Oryctolagus cuniculus: one gene and its partners. The protein of the gene in region 3 purifies or fractionates together with the protein of the main gene of each other region. This does not show direct contact. Links are inferred from orthologs where the notes say so. Each region holds a gene or a part of one and is shown on either strand. Other genes may lie near its edges. The genes, in order: RPS3, RIOK2, TSR1 and RRP12.

The links.
Region 1: the proteins of TSR1 (region 3) and RPS3 purify together in Homo sapiens (co-immunoprecipitation; 4 studies listed by BioGRID and IntAct, with this or other methods). This does not show direct contact. The link is inferred for Oryctolagus cuniculus from reciprocal best matches to the Homo sapiens genes TSR1 and RPS3.
Region 2: the proteins of TSR1 (region 3) and RIOK2 fractionate together in Homo sapiens (co-fractionation; 3 studies listed by BioGRID and IntAct, with this or other methods). This does not show direct contact. The link is inferred for Oryctolagus cuniculus from reciprocal best matches to the Homo sapiens genes TSR1 and RIOK2.
Region 4: the proteins of TSR1 (region 3) and RRP12 purify together in Homo sapiens (affinity purification with mass spectrometry; 3 studies listed by BioGRID and IntAct, counting the BioPlex papers as one, with this or other methods). This does not show direct contact. The link is inferred for Oryctolagus cuniculus from reciprocal best matches to the Homo sapiens genes TSR1 and RRP12.

What each region holds. Positions count from the first base shown.
Region 1 is NC_091432.1:66,521,593-66,525,271, reverse strand, and holds the end of RPS3 (small ribosomal subunit protein uS3), read right to left. Parts: intron 2,417-3,679; coding exon 2,229-2,416; intron 2,074-2,228; exon of another isoform or gene 1,928-2,073; intron 1,842-1,927; coding exon 1,648-1,841; 3' UTR 1,645-1,647; intron 1,209-1,644; 3' UTR 1,132-1,208; downstream 1-1,131. UniProt on the Homo sapiens protein: Component of the small ribosomal subunit. The ribosome is a large ribonucleoprotein complex responsible for the synthesis of proteins in the cell. Has endonuclease activity and plays a role in repair of damaged DNA.
Region 2 is NC_091445.1:19,816,689-19,820,944, forward strand, and holds the end of RIOK2 (serine/threonine-protein kinase RIO2), read right to left. Parts: intron 3,215-4,256; coding exon 2,963-3,214; 3' UTR 885-2,962; downstream 1-884. UniProt on the Homo sapiens protein: Serine/threonine-protein kinase involved in the final steps of cytoplasmic maturation of the 40S ribosomal subunit. Involved in export of the 40S pre-ribosome particles (pre-40S) from the nucleus to the cytoplasm.
Region 3 is NC_091448.1:47,829,520-47,833,896, forward strand, and holds part of TSR1 (pre-rRNA-processing protein TSR1 homolog), read right to left. Parts: coding exon 4,039-4,377; intron 4,024-4,038; exon of another isoform or gene 3,911-4,023; coding exon of another isoform or gene 3,770-3,910; intron 2,974-3,769; coding exon 2,814-2,973; intron 1,962-2,813; coding exon 1,804-1,961; intron 1-1,803. UniProt on the Homo sapiens protein: Required during maturation of the 40S ribosomal subunit in the nucleolus.
Region 4 is NC_091446.1:32,465,927-32,469,455, forward strand, and holds the end of RRP12 (RRP12-like protein), read left to right. Parts: intron 1-1,002; coding exon 1,003-1,070; intron 1,071-1,355; coding exon 1,356-1,438; intron 1,439-2,111; coding exon 2,112-2,214; 3' UTR 2,215-2,528; downstream 2,529-3,529.

The DNA of each region.
Region 1 (3,679 bases), on a different chromosome or scaffold from region 3:
CCTCCCGGTCCCCAACGGGGTGCAGGGGCCCAAGGATCTGGGCCATCCTCTACTGTTTCCCCAGGCCACAGCAGAGAGCCAGATTGCAAGTGGAGCAGCCGTGTTCGAACCGGCACCCATATGGGATGCCGGTGCTTCAAGCTAGGGAATTAACCCACTGCGCCACAGCACCGGCCCAAAGATGGTGAATTATTATTTAACTGAAAGGCAGAGTGAGAGAGACAGAGGGTCCATTCCCCAGATGGCTGCAATGGCTGGAGCCATGCCCACCATGAGCCAGGAGCCTCCTTCTGGTCTCCCATGCAGGTACAAGGTCCCAAGCACTTGGGCCATCTTCTACTGCTTTCCCAGGCCATAGCAGAAAGCTGGACCAGAAGTGGAGCAGCCAGGACATGAACTGGTGCCCACATGGGATGCCAGCATTGCAGGCAGCGGCTCACTAGGATGGTGAATTTTATGCTTACAGTAGTTAACAGGGTGTAAGCACAGGTAACCCAGCGCGCCCAACATCCTAATGGTGGGAAGCCCCCTCCCCGCGAGGGGTCAGAATCTGGCTAATCATTAGTGTTACAGGAGTTTCAAACCAACCTGTTCCCTTTGAAGTTCTGCCTGAATAAACCACTCAATCTTTTGTAAAATAGACACTGGTATGAAAGAAAAAAAAAAAACTTCAAAATGCCATGACAGGTAAACTGTTCTCCACAGAACAATGGCAAACAGCAGGACTTAGGAATGTGGATCCTGAAAACGGCTTTATACCACATGGCCAGATTTACTGCAGAGCTTGAAGCTCAGTGCCAAAAGCAAATCCCCTTATGGTTAGATACTGGACTACATGAATCTGTAAAGGACCCTCGGAGCACATGACACACACATACCACTGTAGTTACTTGAAGCAGTCCTCTTCTAAACCCATCCTCCTGACCCACATGACATCCACAATGCTGCTGGCTAAGCAGCCTTCACTGTCGTGGGATTTTCCACCCCACAGGATTATCTCTGCCGAGCTCGGCTCGGGTCCTTCCATTCTGGCTCTTGCAAAAACAATGGTAAAGCTAACAGAGTAAGGCATGCCCCCACAGGCCAACGAGACCCTCACCCCTCAGGCAGAAGATGGACAGTCAGTCAGGCTTTGCGTCTTTGTACAAGATTTTATTAAAGATCTTTATAAAGTAACATCCAGACTCCATACAGCTGCCAGGGAGACCCTGTAACCAAATAAAGAACAGTAAGAGAAACTTACATCTGAGTATTAGGTTCTTTCATTTACCAAGTCGGCACACACCCCCTCCAGGGACTGCGCGAAAGTTAGTCACAAAATAAAGACCAACTGAAAACAAACAAAAGCCCCAAATGTGCTGGGCGTGGGAGGCTCAGAGCTACCACTCAGAGGGACTACAAAAGGACAGAAAACCTAATTAATACCAAGAATGCCTTCAAAACCTTGAGCAACCCAGTAGTCAAAACAGAAATTTCTGAGAGGCAAACACACAACCCAACAGAATCACGAGCTAAATGGGCCCAGCTTTCCAACCGATATTCTCCCAGATGAAGCAAATATAATCCAACCATTATTCATCCAGTAAGGGAGAAGAAAAAGGAAACAGGACCCCCTCCTGCCCTGGGTGGTCCCTGCAGACATACCTGTTACGCTGTGGGGACTGGCTGGGGCATGGCAGGCGGCTCTGGCTTCCCACCCTTCTGCTCCGAGATGGGGGTGGTGGGCAGGATCTCATCTTTGGGTTCCACAATGCTCACGTGGTCGGGCAGGGGCTTCTTGGGGCCAATCTTACCACTTGGGTCCCAGGGCAGCATGATCTTCACCTTGATGCCCAGCACACCTAGGAAACCCCAGAGTTAGAACCTAGTAGGGTTCACCAGCCCCTACCACAACAGCAAGAGTTACCCAAGAACCTCTGATCTGGTCCCTTCTCAGACAAATGCCTCTAAATCAATCAATGAACAGGACACTTCTGCCCAAGGAACCCACGCACAGCACCACAGAACGTGGTACTGGCACAGCCCGAGGGCAGGACGTGACCTTTCTGACTCGTCATCGTGTCATCACCGAAGGGTACACAACTGACCTGCCTGATCAGCTGTCAATGCCTATGCAGGAAATCAATAAATCCCAGCTACTTCCAAAATGAATTTCCTCAAACCCTGGGGCACCCATGGAATGACACCTACCCACCAACGCCCACCTACACGCATTCCCAGTGGCTCACCCTGTCTGAGCAGCACATGGCGCACAGCGGTGTCAACATAGTAGTTAACAGGGTCCCCACTGTGGATCATCAGGCCGTCCACAAACTTCATGGACTTAGCCCTCTGTCCTCGCAGCTTCCCAGACACCACAACCTCGCAGCCCTTAGCTCCGCTCTCCATGATGAACCGCAGCACACCATAGCAGGCCCTTTGGAAGAACAGGGAGACATATTTGGGTTACTACTGAAGCCGGAACCTATCAACCCACTGCACCAAGTTAAAAACCAAAGATTTAGGGCAGCGTTGTGGCGCAGTGGGTTAAAGCGCTGGCCTGAAGCACCAGCATCCCGTATGGGTGCCAGTTCTAGTCCCATCTGCTCTTCAAACAGCACTTCTCGCCTCTTTCTATCACATTTTATCCTTGGGAAATTAAAGGCAAGCTCCTATTCCGAGTGCTTTCCAACCATGACTACAAATCAGTTAACTCAGAAAACTTAACCCACAGGGGCCAGTGCTGTGGCACAGCGGGTAAAGCCTTTAACACCCACATCACATGTGGGCACCAGTCTCGGCTGCTCCACTAATGATCCAGCTCCCTGCTAATGCACCTGGGAAAGTAGCGGATGACAGCCCAAGTGCTTGGGCCCCTGTACCCACGTGGCAGACTGGGAGGAAAATCCTAGCTCCTGATTTTGGTCTGGCCCAGCCCTGAGGGGAGTGAACCAGAGGATAGAAGACCTCTCTCTCTCTGTAACTCTGCCTAATATATCTTTTAACAAACTAAAAACCTCTTGATAGCCCTCCTCCAGGCCAATTACAGCAGCAATCTCAAGTGGTGAGCCCCAGACAGATTATTCTAATATGTAACCCAGGGTGCCCAAGACGCCCACAATGATGGGATCTGGCCCTGCTAAGGCAGCTGCAGTCAATCTAGAGCAGGCTGATTTTTAAGCTGGTAATTATGTATGGCCTGTGAAATATTATCTGCTCCCCTTCTTTCCAGCTCCCTGCTAATAATGTGCCTGGGAAAGGAGCAGAAGATGGCCCAAGTGCTTGGGCCCATCACCCAACGTGGGAGACCCAGACTGAGCTCCAGGCTTCTCGCCTAGCACCAGCTGTTGAAGCCATCTGGGAAGTGAACCAAGGGAGGGAAGATCTGTCTCTCCCCGTTATTATGTCTTTCAAATGTTCAGAGAAGTTCAGTACCTTGCTTAGTTTAAGAACTTCCATTCCCCTGCCAAACAGCCCCCACCCTGACCCCAGGGCTCTGTGCTAAGTACTGACTAAATTCCAAACAGCCAGGCAAGGCCTTCCAACCACTTCACAAACTTATCTACACGGAAACCTCACCAGCAAGCCCAGCTTTGGCGGCAACCTAACTTCACGCCTCTCATACCCCGTGCCACCTGTCACCTTACTATCTACGCATAGCCCACCACATTAAGTATCTGGATTTTAAGCTCTCTCATCA
Region 2 (4,256 bases), on a different chromosome or scaffold from region 3:
GTAGGCACTGTGGTGTAGTGGGTGAGGTGGCTGCCTACAGTGTCAGTACCCCATATGGGCACTGGATCAAGTCCTGGCTGCTCCTCTTCTGATCCAGCTCTCTGCTACAGCCTGGGAAAGCAGTAGAAGATGGCCCAAGTGTTTGGGCTCCTGCACTGCGTGGGAGACCCGGAAAAAGCTCCAGGCTCTGATTGGCCCAGTTCTAGCCTTTGCAGCCATTTGGTGAGTGAACCATCAGATGGAAGACCTCTTTCTCTTTGCCTCTGCCTCTCTGTAACTCTTCCTTTCAAATAAATAAATATTAAAAAAAAGAAAATGGGAAAGACAAAATTCTAGAATAATATATTCTGCTGATCTCGAGGTGCTTCCATAGCCTTGAATTCAAGGGTAAAGTACTCCCCAGCACTGCCCCGCCTCCCCCAACCCCAGGGATGTTCCACTGAGGGTGTCTGTCTACTGAGATGGGTTTTCTAGGGCATGTGATATAAAGGTGAAACTGTTTATTATGGAAACAAGCTTTGTCCTCTAAAACGTGCAGAAAGTTTTTTGGAGGATAAAACTCAAAACCTGGTTGTGGGATGGGCATTTTGCATGGCAGGTTAAGTCACTGTTTGGGATGCCCACATTCCATACTGGAGTGTTTGGTTCTAGTCTTGGCTACTCCATTTCCAATTCGTCTTTCTGCTAATGCATACCTTGGGAGGCAGCATATGATGGCTCAGGTATTGAGCCCCTGCCATCCACGTGGGAAGACCCAGATGGAATTCTAGTTTCTTGGCTTCAGCCTGGCACAGTTCCTGCTGTTACAGGTATTTGGGGAGGAAACTAGTGGATGGAAGATCTCTCTCTTAGTCCCTCTGCCTCTATCTTTCCCTGCCTTTCAAATAAAAAAACAAACAAAACCAAAACAATACAAAACCCCAAACCTGGTTGTAAGGACTGTCTTTTCTGATACTTCCAAGCAACAGGAAGACACATCAAATTTGTGGAGCTTATTAACTTTCCAGAAGAGATCCTAAGGCTGAACACAAGCTTGAAACCACCCAAGCATATTGGTTTTCCTCCTTTCACCTCTCAACCTTATTACTCTATGACTTTGAGCAAGCAATTTTACATTTAAAGATGTTTTCTCATCTTTAAAATAAAAGCAAGGTAACAGAATCTGTTATAGCTCCAGTGTAACAGAATTCTATATAAATGGTCTCAACCTTAATACTTAGGCTGCTAACTGGACAATCTTTTAGATTCTATTCTGGATTCCCTCCAATCCATTCAAACACTGACAATCACATCATTGTAGTGTTCAAAACTTACAGTAGCTTTCCCCTAATACATCACATTTTTCTTTTTTAAATTAAAATCCATCCTTTAATTCAGCCATCCTTTAATTTAGTCCTTTGCTGCACAGCACCCATCCCCCATCGACGGTCTGGTAGCACACTGCATTCGTTTGTCTCGGGGATTTTCTGCATGATTTCCTCTCTGCAAGCTCTTTTGCCTTCTACCTGTTCAACCAAATCCCTCTTCCACAAAACAACTCCCAAAGCATGCTGGCCTGCCCCTCAGACTGTCCTTGGGATTTCTCAGCAGTCATCAGCGGGACATCTACTCTGGGCTGCCATGTCATTGCTCTGTGCCATTCTTGCCTACCCAAATATAGCTGAAGCATTCAGTCAGAAAAATATACCCTAAAAATATACATATTCTCTCCTGATATCCCTTTACACACTAGCTGATACATGAAATACTGAAGTATGAACACACCTTTCTCTTCCTAATCTGGGCCAAATCTCTTACCAATAGCAGGATTACAGATTCACTTATTTCAAATAGTTTTTAAAGAAATGGAAGCACATAATATTGTCATGAATGTCCCAACTAAAATGAATACTCATTTGAATTATGAGGCATACTATGACATAAAAACCTACAACAATCTGATGCTAAACATAGAAGATGTTAATTTTAATGCCATTGCTATTTACAGTATTAAGGTAAAAGAAAAAGTCTTAAAATGTGACAACAGAGTCTTTGTGAGTGACTGAGTTTCCCATGCTCCCCACACCCCTGGCTGTGAATCAGTGCATAACCCATGGCTGTTCTCAACTGTGATCTCTTGACTCCTTACAAGGTTGCATCAAGTGGCTCCCGAATTTCCTAAAACACACCAGGGCAAACTGATATGGTCTGCTGCTCTCTAGGGAGCTCTGAGGATGCAGGAAGACTACTGAGGACAGTGAGCTTTAACCACCAGAGTACTCAATCTGTGACTGTGAAATAAACCCATTAGCCACTGAGACCTAATGAATTCACCTCTTGATCCTTTGGAAGTGGCTGGAAAATCTGAGGGGCAGCATTGGCCAGAGCTCTTCAGACACCTACAGGATCTGTCAGAAAATTTACTAAGTTCTTGGCTGAATGAACAGTTTTCTCAATTTACATTAACTTCTGATTGGTATCCTTTAAACATTTTTATGGCTCAGGAGATCTGTGCTCAGGAACAGATCAATGGTTCCCAAGTTGGAACAAATATAAACCATGTTTTGTAGGAAAAGCTTATTTAATGGAAATAGTAAGTAGACTATGTGAGGCAAATCTTGAAAAATACACAACAAAGGACTGCAGTCGAATCGCACTGACCCTGAAATTAGGAAAGACTGTCAGCCTACAGAAGCTTCCTGTGGGTCACGCTAGCAATACTTCCTGAGCACACAGCATGTAGGCGCTGTGCTGAGTTCTTCTCAACAAGTGGACAAGTGTTAGTTCATTTAATCTTCACCACCCTGTGACAAGCACTATTTAATGTTCCCATTTTACAGTTCTCAAGAGTGAGACTAGAGTGGTTATGGAAGTTACTTAAAGTCTGGGAAGTGGCGGAATCAGGATCTAAATTTGGACTCAGAAAGTGTTCTATCACAATATATAGCTTTATCACATTTGTGGAGTTTTTTGTCATTGTTCACTATGGGTGCTTTAAAATGTGACAATTTGCTAAGGCAGATCCTTTTTCATCGATGGTTATCAAAAAAATATCTTTTAAAAATAACTGTTGTGACTGGATTCTAGTTTTCATACCACCAAAATATAATCCAAAAGAAATTAAATGCCTTACCAGATCATTTATTACCAAGTCTTCAGTATCACTGTTCAAATAGGGCTGCACCTCTAGTTCTGATTTGAAGTATTTGTCCTGTGGTCCACATGAAATCTGAAGCTGTTAAGGGTAAGAACCATGTTTATCTGCCTTCTAAATTTCTCAAATAATAGTGAGTTTTTTATATGGTGGGTTCCCCAAAGTTGACTAAGTCAATTCAGAAAAGCTAAACAGGATGAGGTCATAGTTTTATTCACAATTTGCTTTCAGCACTCTGGATAAGAAAATGTACTCCAAAATAAACATGTTGTGGTTCTATTAAGCTGTCTTCAACAATAATTTATGCTATAAAAATGCTTTAGAGCAGATAAAAAAACCACTGAATTTAAAGGCATATCTAAAATTCAAAGTGGGGTTATACACATATTTTGAGAATCCAATATTCAAGGGAACTGGATTTGATATTTTCTTGCATTTATAAATTTATATGAGTTTATTAGATAATAGAGGATCTTGCAAATAACCATTAGAATTAATTTTCCAAAGGTGAACCTGTTGTTTGTATCACTCTCAGGAAATCTCCTGTATTCCAACTGGTGACTATGAAGTGACACTGCCATCTAGTGGCAAGTTTTCACTAAAGGTGAATGCATTTACTTGAGCACCCACCTTCATATCTTCACTGATTATAAACTCCTTTTTAAAGAAATATCTAGTTTTTAAAGGGAAAATAATTTAAAAAGTTTTTCATTTATGCATTCATTTGAAAGGCATACAGACTGAGAAACAAACACACACAATACACAGATTCTATTTGTTTGGTTCACTACCCAGATGCTAGTAATAGCTAGGGCTGGGCCGATTTGCTTTCTGGCTTCAGCCTGGCTGGGCCATGGCTGTTTCAGGCATCTAGTCAGCAAATGGAAACTCCATCATTCTGCTTTTCAAATAAATGAACAATGAATAAAACATTGAAAAAAAAAAAAAAGGGGAACATTTCTCTCTTCATCCCCTCTACCTCCTTCTACCCAATCTTTCTACTCCTGCTTGGATCTGCATAAAAGCTGGCAACTGTAAATACCATGTTGGGACTCTCTTTTAAAGTTTCTCTTTCCAGGGCCATGTTACCAATGCTAGTGGCACAACAGTGTTACGGATCAAT
Region 3 (4,377 bases):
GCAGGGAGCTAGACTGGAAGTGGAGCAGCTGATACTCAAACCAGTGCCCATAAGGGATGTCAGTGTTGCAGGTGGCAGCTTAACCTGCTGTACCACAATACCAGCCCCAAGAGGCATTTTTTTTTTTTAATTTATTTGACAGGTAGAGTTATAGACAGTAAGAGAGAGAGAGAAATGTCTTCCTTCCATTAGTTCACCCCCCAAATGGCCGCTACGGCCCACACTGCGCCGATCCGAAGCCAGGAGCCAGGTGCCTCCTCCTGGTCTCCCATGCAGTTGCAGGGGCCCAAGCACTTGGGCCATCCTCCACTGCCTTCCCAGGGCCACAGCAGAGAGCTGGACTGGAAGAGGAGCAGCCAGGACTAGAACCGGCGCCCATAAGGGATGCCAGCGCCACAGGCGGAGGATTGACCGAGTGAGCCACAGCGCTGGCCCGAGGCATTCTTAGACTCACCCCACACACCTCTCAAGGTTAGGACTGCCATTTGATTTGCATTTGGAGCTATACACAGAAATGGCTTAAGAACCCATTTTCTTCCTAAGATTTATTTATTGAGGCTGGTGTTGTGGCTTAGTGGATAAAGCCACCACCTGTAGCACCAGCATCCCATATGGGAACCAGTTCGAGTCCCCACTGCTACACTTCCAATCCAGCTCCCTGCTAATACACCTAATAAAGCAGCAAAAAAAAAAAAATGGTCCAAATGCCTGGGTCCCTGTACCCACCTGGGAGACCTGGAAGAAGCTCCTGGCTTCTGATTGGGCAGCCATCTAGGGAATGAACCAGTGGATAGAGGATATCTCTCTTTTAAGACAGAGTTACAGGGGTAGGCACTATGGTGTAGCAGGTAGAGCCACCACCTGCAGTTCGAGTCCCAGCTGCTCAGCTTCCAATCCAGCTCTCTATTATGGCCTGGGAAAGCAGCAAAAGATGGCCCAAGTGCTTGGGTCCCTGCACCCTTGTGGGAGACCTGGAAGAAGCTCCTGGCTCCTGGCTTCAGACTGGCCCAGCTCCAGCCATTGCAGCCATTTAGGGAGTGAACCAGCAAATGGAAGACTTCTCTCTCTCTACCTATCTGTAACTCTGCCTGTCAAATAAATAAATAAATCTTCGGAGGGCGGGTGGGATAGACAGAATTACACAGAGAAGAAGAGAGATCTAGGCCGGCGCCGCGGCTCACCAGGCTAATCCTCCGCCTAGCGGCGCCGGCACACCGGGTTCTAGTCCCGGTCGGGGCGCTGGATTCTGTCCCAGTTGCCCCTCTTCCAGGCCAGCCCTCTGCTGTGGCCAGGGAGTGCAGTGGAGGATGGCCCAGGTGCTTGGGCCCTGCACCCCATGGGAGACCAGGAAAAGCACCTGGCTCCTGGCTCCTGCCATCGGATCAGCGCGGTGCGCCGGCCGCAGCGGCCATTGGAGGGTGAACCAATGGCAAAGGAAGACCTTTCTCTCTGTCTGTCTCTCTCACTGTCCACTCTGCCTGTCAAAAAAAAAAAAAAGAAAAAAAAGAGATCTTCCATCCTTAGTTCATTCCCCAAACAACCACAATGGCCAGAGCTGGGCCGATCTGAAGCCAGAAGCTTCAGATCAGACATAGTGAGAGATTTTTCAGTTACTGGTTCACTTCCCAAATGGGTCAAAGTATTTGGGCCAGCAGTGCTGCTTCCCAGGTGCATTAGTAGGGAGCTAGATCAGAAGTAGAGTAACCAAGACTTGAACCCACACTCCAATATGGGATGTGGGTATACCATGTAGTGGCCTAACCCACTACAACCACAACACTGGCCCAGGCCCAATTTTCTTACCTGAGATTCCTCTTCCATAAAATCCTCATGTTCTGTATCATCATATTCATCTCCTTCCCCACCACTGTCACCATCTTCATCCAAAATCCACTCAGCTTGGTAACTGGATGTTCCTTTGGGGACCTTCTTTACCACTTTGGAAGTTTCCTTCAAGAAGTCTGTAAAAGCCCAAAGAATTAAGCAAATTATATACCACCTTTTCCCATCACTCTGGGATTTCTCACCTAGACAAGATGCTAGATAGTGGGTCCCAGCATTGTGACAGAGCAGGTTAAACCTCTGCTGCAATGCTGGCACCCCATGTGGACACCAGTTCAAGACTTTGCTGCTCTATTGGCCCTGCACCCAAGCTGGAGACCTGGAAGAAGCTCTGGGCTCCTCGTTTTGGCCTGGGCTGGGCCACACCACTGTAGCCATGTGAAGAGTGAACCAGTGGATGGAAGATCCTTTTCTCTGTCTCTCCTCCTCTCTAACTCTTTCAAATAAATAAGTAATAAATCTTAAAAAAAAAAAAAAAAAGATGCTAGATAGTGCTGCTAACAATCTCTAGCAGACACTATGAGTAGAAAATATGTCCATTAATTTGGGTACCTCATACCCAGCAACACTTACATAGCTAGATAGATAAGCCTTGTTATAAAGTTTATTCACTGTAAGGCAATAAGATGGAGTGGGTATTGTGGCACAGAGGGTTAAGCTGCCACTTCAGACACCTGTATCCCATATTGCCAGTCCTACAGATTGAACCAGCAGATGGAAGATATCTGTCACTTTGCCTTTCAAATAAAAAGTAAATTAACATTAAAAAAAAAAAAAAAAAAAAACTTGGAGGAATGGAACAAATCTGTGTCTAATGTTTGCTTAATGCAAACACACAACATTTAGGGATGAGAGGACATGACATACCCTCAAGTATACCTGTATTCCGCTCCACCCTATGGGATCTTCACAGTGAGCAGCTAGACAAAATCCACAATCCCTCATCAGGTAAGTAACCTGCCAATACCAACCATTTGCTTCCCTTAGCTCCTCCTCAGTAGGCCAAGTCTGCTCCCCTTCCATTGGATCTGGGATAACCTCTGTTTGCAAAGATTCCTGTTTCTCAGGGTCTGCCTTCATTAGGACTTTAATGTCTTCTTCCATATCAGTTACAGCATCCATAGCACAAATCTGAAAACCAATCAAATGGTCAAACATTAACCCAAAACCCACTAAACCAGAAGATGGATAAAACAGAAAGCCAAAATCTGTCAACGTTTTCCAGATGGCTGCTTTATGGCATTTTAAGTCGTATTACTGCCTGGCTCTTGAGGCCTTTCTTAATCTGGTCCTACTCCCACTTGTTTATACCTCACTTGTTTGTGAGGTATTATTAAGCTGATTTCTTTAGAATTCAAAAAGAAACCCTCTGACCCATCACCGTGCCTAGTTCTGATATTGTTTCTATTTTCTAGCATATTCTTTGATCTTTTCAACTCATAAATTACACACGTGGCTCAAGCTGGATCTCTTCAGTAAAGCTTGCCAATTTATTTTCCCAGTTCCTACGGCATTTCTCTAACTTAACCATAGACTCTCGCAGTCTGTACTTCAAAGGTGTTTGTCATGTTTTTCTGACCCAATTAAATTCTCTAAGGAAAGTAACCACACCTTGAGTCTTTTATAAACACAGAGCCAGCAGCAGGGTACCTAGAAAGTACTGGAAACATGTCTGACTTAACGTATCTAGAGCTGATTGTTGCTGCCATACTCCAACTAGTAATCTCCTCATTGGCTTGAGAGACTGCCTTCTCTAAATTCAAGTTTCCATTCCATGCCAACTTACATACAAATCTGCAAGAACAAATCTTTAAGAACATCAACCTTGGGCTGGCGCTGTGGTGCAGCAGGTTAACGCCCTGGCCTGAAGCGCTGGCATCCCATATGGGCGCCCAGTTCTAGCCCCTGTGTTCCACTTCTGATCCAGCTCTCTGCTATGGCCTGGGAAAGCAGTAGAAGATGGCCCAAGTCCTTGAGCCCCTGCACCTGCATGGGAGACCAGAAGAAGCTCCTGGCTCCTGGCTTCAGATCAGCGCAGCTCCAGCCATTGTGGCCAATTGGGGAGTGAACAAGCAGATGGAAGACCTCTCTCTCTCTCTCTCTCTCTCTCTCTCCCTCTTCCTCTCTCTGTGTTAACTCTGACTTTTGAATAAATAAATAAATCTTAAAAAAAAAAAAAAAGAACATCAATCTTACCTCCATCGCCATGCCTGGGTCCTTTTGGGGTTTAATCACTCTAGTATTTAAAGGAAAAGGGTCCGTGGGGGCGTCTATCTGTTTCATCTGGAAATCACCATGTCCAACAATATGTAGCAAGCTATTTACATTCAGAGCCTGCCCACGAACATAGCCTGAGAGTTTCAGGGTGCCCACCAAGTTATTCTCTTCACTAGCCACAAAATCAGCAGTGTGGGCAAACAGGTAGGCCCGCCGATCTCGAAATGCAAGATGCCGCTGCTTCTGGTTAGCCAACTGCCTCAGCAGCATCCCTGCCTCCTGCTGAGTGTCTAACAGGAGGAGTTTGTCATCAGGAAA
Region 4 (3,529 bases), on a different chromosome or scaffold from region 3:
CAGTGTTGATGGGAGCTGGATTTGTGCTGGGCCTGACCAGAGGGTTTCAGTCTCTGTCTCAGGGCCCCTGGGCCGTTGCCCTCCCTATAGCAGCTGCTAGAAGGATCGAGGTACCTTTGTTGTCTTCCTCCCAGGGCCACCCTGCAGGGCTCCTGCCCCCGCCCCGTGTCGCAGAGCCCTTGCTGTGCATCTAGCAGGCTGGGCTCCTGGGGCCCAGAAGCTCCTGATTCCAGTAGCAGGTGTGGCCTCAGCTGCTGACAAACCTCACGGTTCCTCCTACAGCCCCCACAAGCCAGGACGCAGCCCACCTGCCTGCTCTGAGATGCTGCAGTGCGGGGACAGTCATGGCAGTCAGGAGGCCAGAGGCCTACTTCAGGATGGCCTCCCCGCTGCTGCTTAGTGTGTGACCTTAGCGGGTCACACTGCCTCTCTGTGCTTCTAGATTCTCATCTTTTAAAAGAGATCTTGGTCACCCCAGGGAGCCCTCCTGAGTCAGCACTGGCTCTCTGGGAGCCCGCCGGCGACTCTGGTGACGTCCCGGCTGGAAAGGACAGCTGAGCCTGCACGGCTGCCCTGAGCGCTAAGCCTCAGCCTTCAGATCTGTGCAGTGGGATGCGGCGCTGCGCTTGGCTGCCTCGCTGCTGGTGTGAAGCCTGACGAGAGAAGGGTGGGAAACCCAACGTGCCCTGCGTTAGGGCTGAGACTCCGCTGAGGCTCGAGCTGTACGTGGCTGAGCAGGGAGTTAGGTCCGGGTCTGTGTGACCTCAGAGCCTGTGTTCTTTGTCCTGGAACGGTGGGACAGGTGTGACTTTGCAGAAGTGGGCGATTGTGTGTGCATTGTGTGTGCTGCAGTCAGGTCACTGGCCAGCCCCTCCACAAGGAACGTATGTGGCCTTGCTTGGTTAGGGGTCAGAGCCAAGTTCCCATCTGCTCTGTGGCCACTGTGAGAAGGTGCCTGTGGCCATGGCTTTGCCTGACTCTCGATCTCTCTTCTCCCTGTAGCTGGAGGCTCTGGCATTCATCGCCCTATAGCCAAGAAAGTTGTGCCCGGGGCTGAATACAAGGCCAAGGTAAGAGCTGCAGCTGGGAGCGTAGAGTCTGTTGGTACTGAGTCGGGGCAGGGAGGAGCTGTGCCCATCTTCATCCTGGAGAGGCACCTTTGTGGGCTGGACTGAGGCCAGGGAAGAAGGGGCATGGCCGGGTATTGGTCCTCTGGGGCTACAGGAGCTCTTGGGCACCACCTGAGCAGACGGGAAAGGGAAGGGAGGGGAGAGGTTGGGGCGTGTCGGGTCCAGGCAGAGGCGGAAGGGGCAGCCTCCACCCTTGGCGGACTGACTGTGTCTCTGGATGAGCAGAAAGCAAAGGGTGACGTGAAGAAGAAAGGTCGGCTCGACCCCTACGCCTACATCCCCCTCAACAGAACCAAGCTCAACCGCAGGTACGGTGGCGCCCGGGCCGGCTCGGGTGGGGAGCTCAGGGCCTTCCCGTTAAGCTCACAACTTGCTCGCCTCTCTGGGAAGTTTTTAAGTTTTCTCTGAGCACAGCCCGCGTGTGGGCACCTCCTGTGCCACTGCCTGGGCTGACTGCTCTGAGACTGGTGCTGTCACGCACACGCTCACCCGTTCATCATTCATGCCGCTGTGTGCGGCTGCCTGCAGTGGCGTGCTAATCCCTCGTGGGTGGAAGGTCGGTCGGTTCCGACTTTGGCTGTTAAGTAGGGTTCGTAGGGGTGGGTTGAGGGCCGCGTGAGATGCTGGGTGAGGCGAGCTTTGGGAACAGGTGTCACGGGGAAGTGGTGCTCTCAGCTTCAGTCACTGAAGGCTTCTGCTGAATACCAGTTCCCCGTAGGGGCAAGGGTGGGTGGAGAGGAGCTGTGACTTCTCTGTACCAACGTCAGAGGAGGGGAGGAAGGGAGCTGTTTCCGGGGAGCATGGTGCCGAGTGGAGTGGCCAAATCAAGGCAGGAGCCACGCGTGGTCTGCCCAGGTCATGTGCTGCCAGGCATGGCCTGCGCCTGCTCCGCAGTGCTGCCGTGCTGGAGCGAGCTGTGTTTGGCTGGGCTAAAGGGCCGCTTGTCTCGAGAGACATGACCCTGTGTTCTTGCGCCCGCAGGAAAAAGGTGAAGCTGCAGGGACAGTTCAAAGGCCTGGTGAAAGCTGCGCAGCGGGGGACCCGGGCCGGACACAGACTCCGCAGAAAGGGTCACCGGCCCTGAAGCCCCGGGCCCCTGGGCAGCTCCGCACGCCTGCCTCAGCCCCGCATCAGCCCCCAGCTGCCTTGCTCCAGTGCCTGGACTCAACATGCGGTGCTGGGACTGGGGCCTGGGATTTGGAAGTTCCAGATGGGGCTGCCCTTTCAGGGCGTCCCCGTGAGGCGGCTGTGCGCTCTGCCAGGGCCGGCCCAGCACTGGGGCAGATGGGCCTCCTCCAGCTCAGCTGCTCGTGGCCATGGGGCACTCGACCCAGCCATGGTCTGGGGCTGAGGTTCACTATGACCAGCTATAGAATAAACACGCGTGACAGTGTCTCATCCCTGTGCTTCCTGACCTGCTGCTCCAGGGGTAGGGAGAGTGAGCGCCGACGGGGGACACCCAGGCAGGAGGGCGGCCCAACTTCACATGAGAGTTGCAGTTGGAAAAGTGGCCTCGGGAGGTGCAGCTCTGGGATTGGTCTCTGGAGACTGGGCGCCAGGGACTGGGGACAGAAAAAGGAGACAGCGGCTCAGAGCCAGTTAGAGCTGCAGCGCTGGCTGCCCCTGGACACAGAGTCTCTGCCCAGGGACCCCACACAGTGCCTCCTGAGCCTGTCCCGTGCCCAGCACAGCCCAGCTCGCCTCCCCTGTTTCTTAACGTTCTTTCTGCCAAACAAGGGCTCCCACCGCCCAGGAGCCCTGCTGCGTGTGCTTTCCTAACAGGCAACTAGAAGCCACCCCAGGGCTGCCCACCACACCCCAGTGTGAAGAACAGGTTCTGTTTTTCCCCATCTCAAGTTCTCCGCTGTGAGATGAGACCACACACATATTCCACAATAGTGTCCCTTCCAGTTGATGTCGTAGGCTCTGATAATGCTCCCGGAAGGCCCTCCTGGCGCCTGTTCTCATGCTCTAAGGGCACCTGAGTCTTAACGGGCGCCGAGCCTTTGTTGTCCCTGCTCTTGGGTTGGGAAGCAGAGAGGAACTGCACTTTGCCCAGAGGTGGCGCTGTTGACACGCGTTGTGAACAGAAACCAGGCCTAGGAGAGTAAGCAAGAAAGGTCAAAAGAGGTAAGCACTAGGGGTTTGCAAAGGTAATCTGGCCACAGCCCTGAGCACAAGGTGTGTTGAATGAAGCCAGTTCAGGGGCCAGCACTGGAGCAATGGGCTGGGCGGCTGCTGTGACAGCAGCATCTCGTATTATAGCGCCCGTTCAAATCCTGCCTGCTCCACTTCCCATCCAGCTCCCTGTTAATGCACCTGGGAAGGCAGCGTTGTTGCAGCCATTTGGGGAATGAGCCAGCAGATAGATCTCTGTCTTTCCCTCTGTGGGTCTGCTT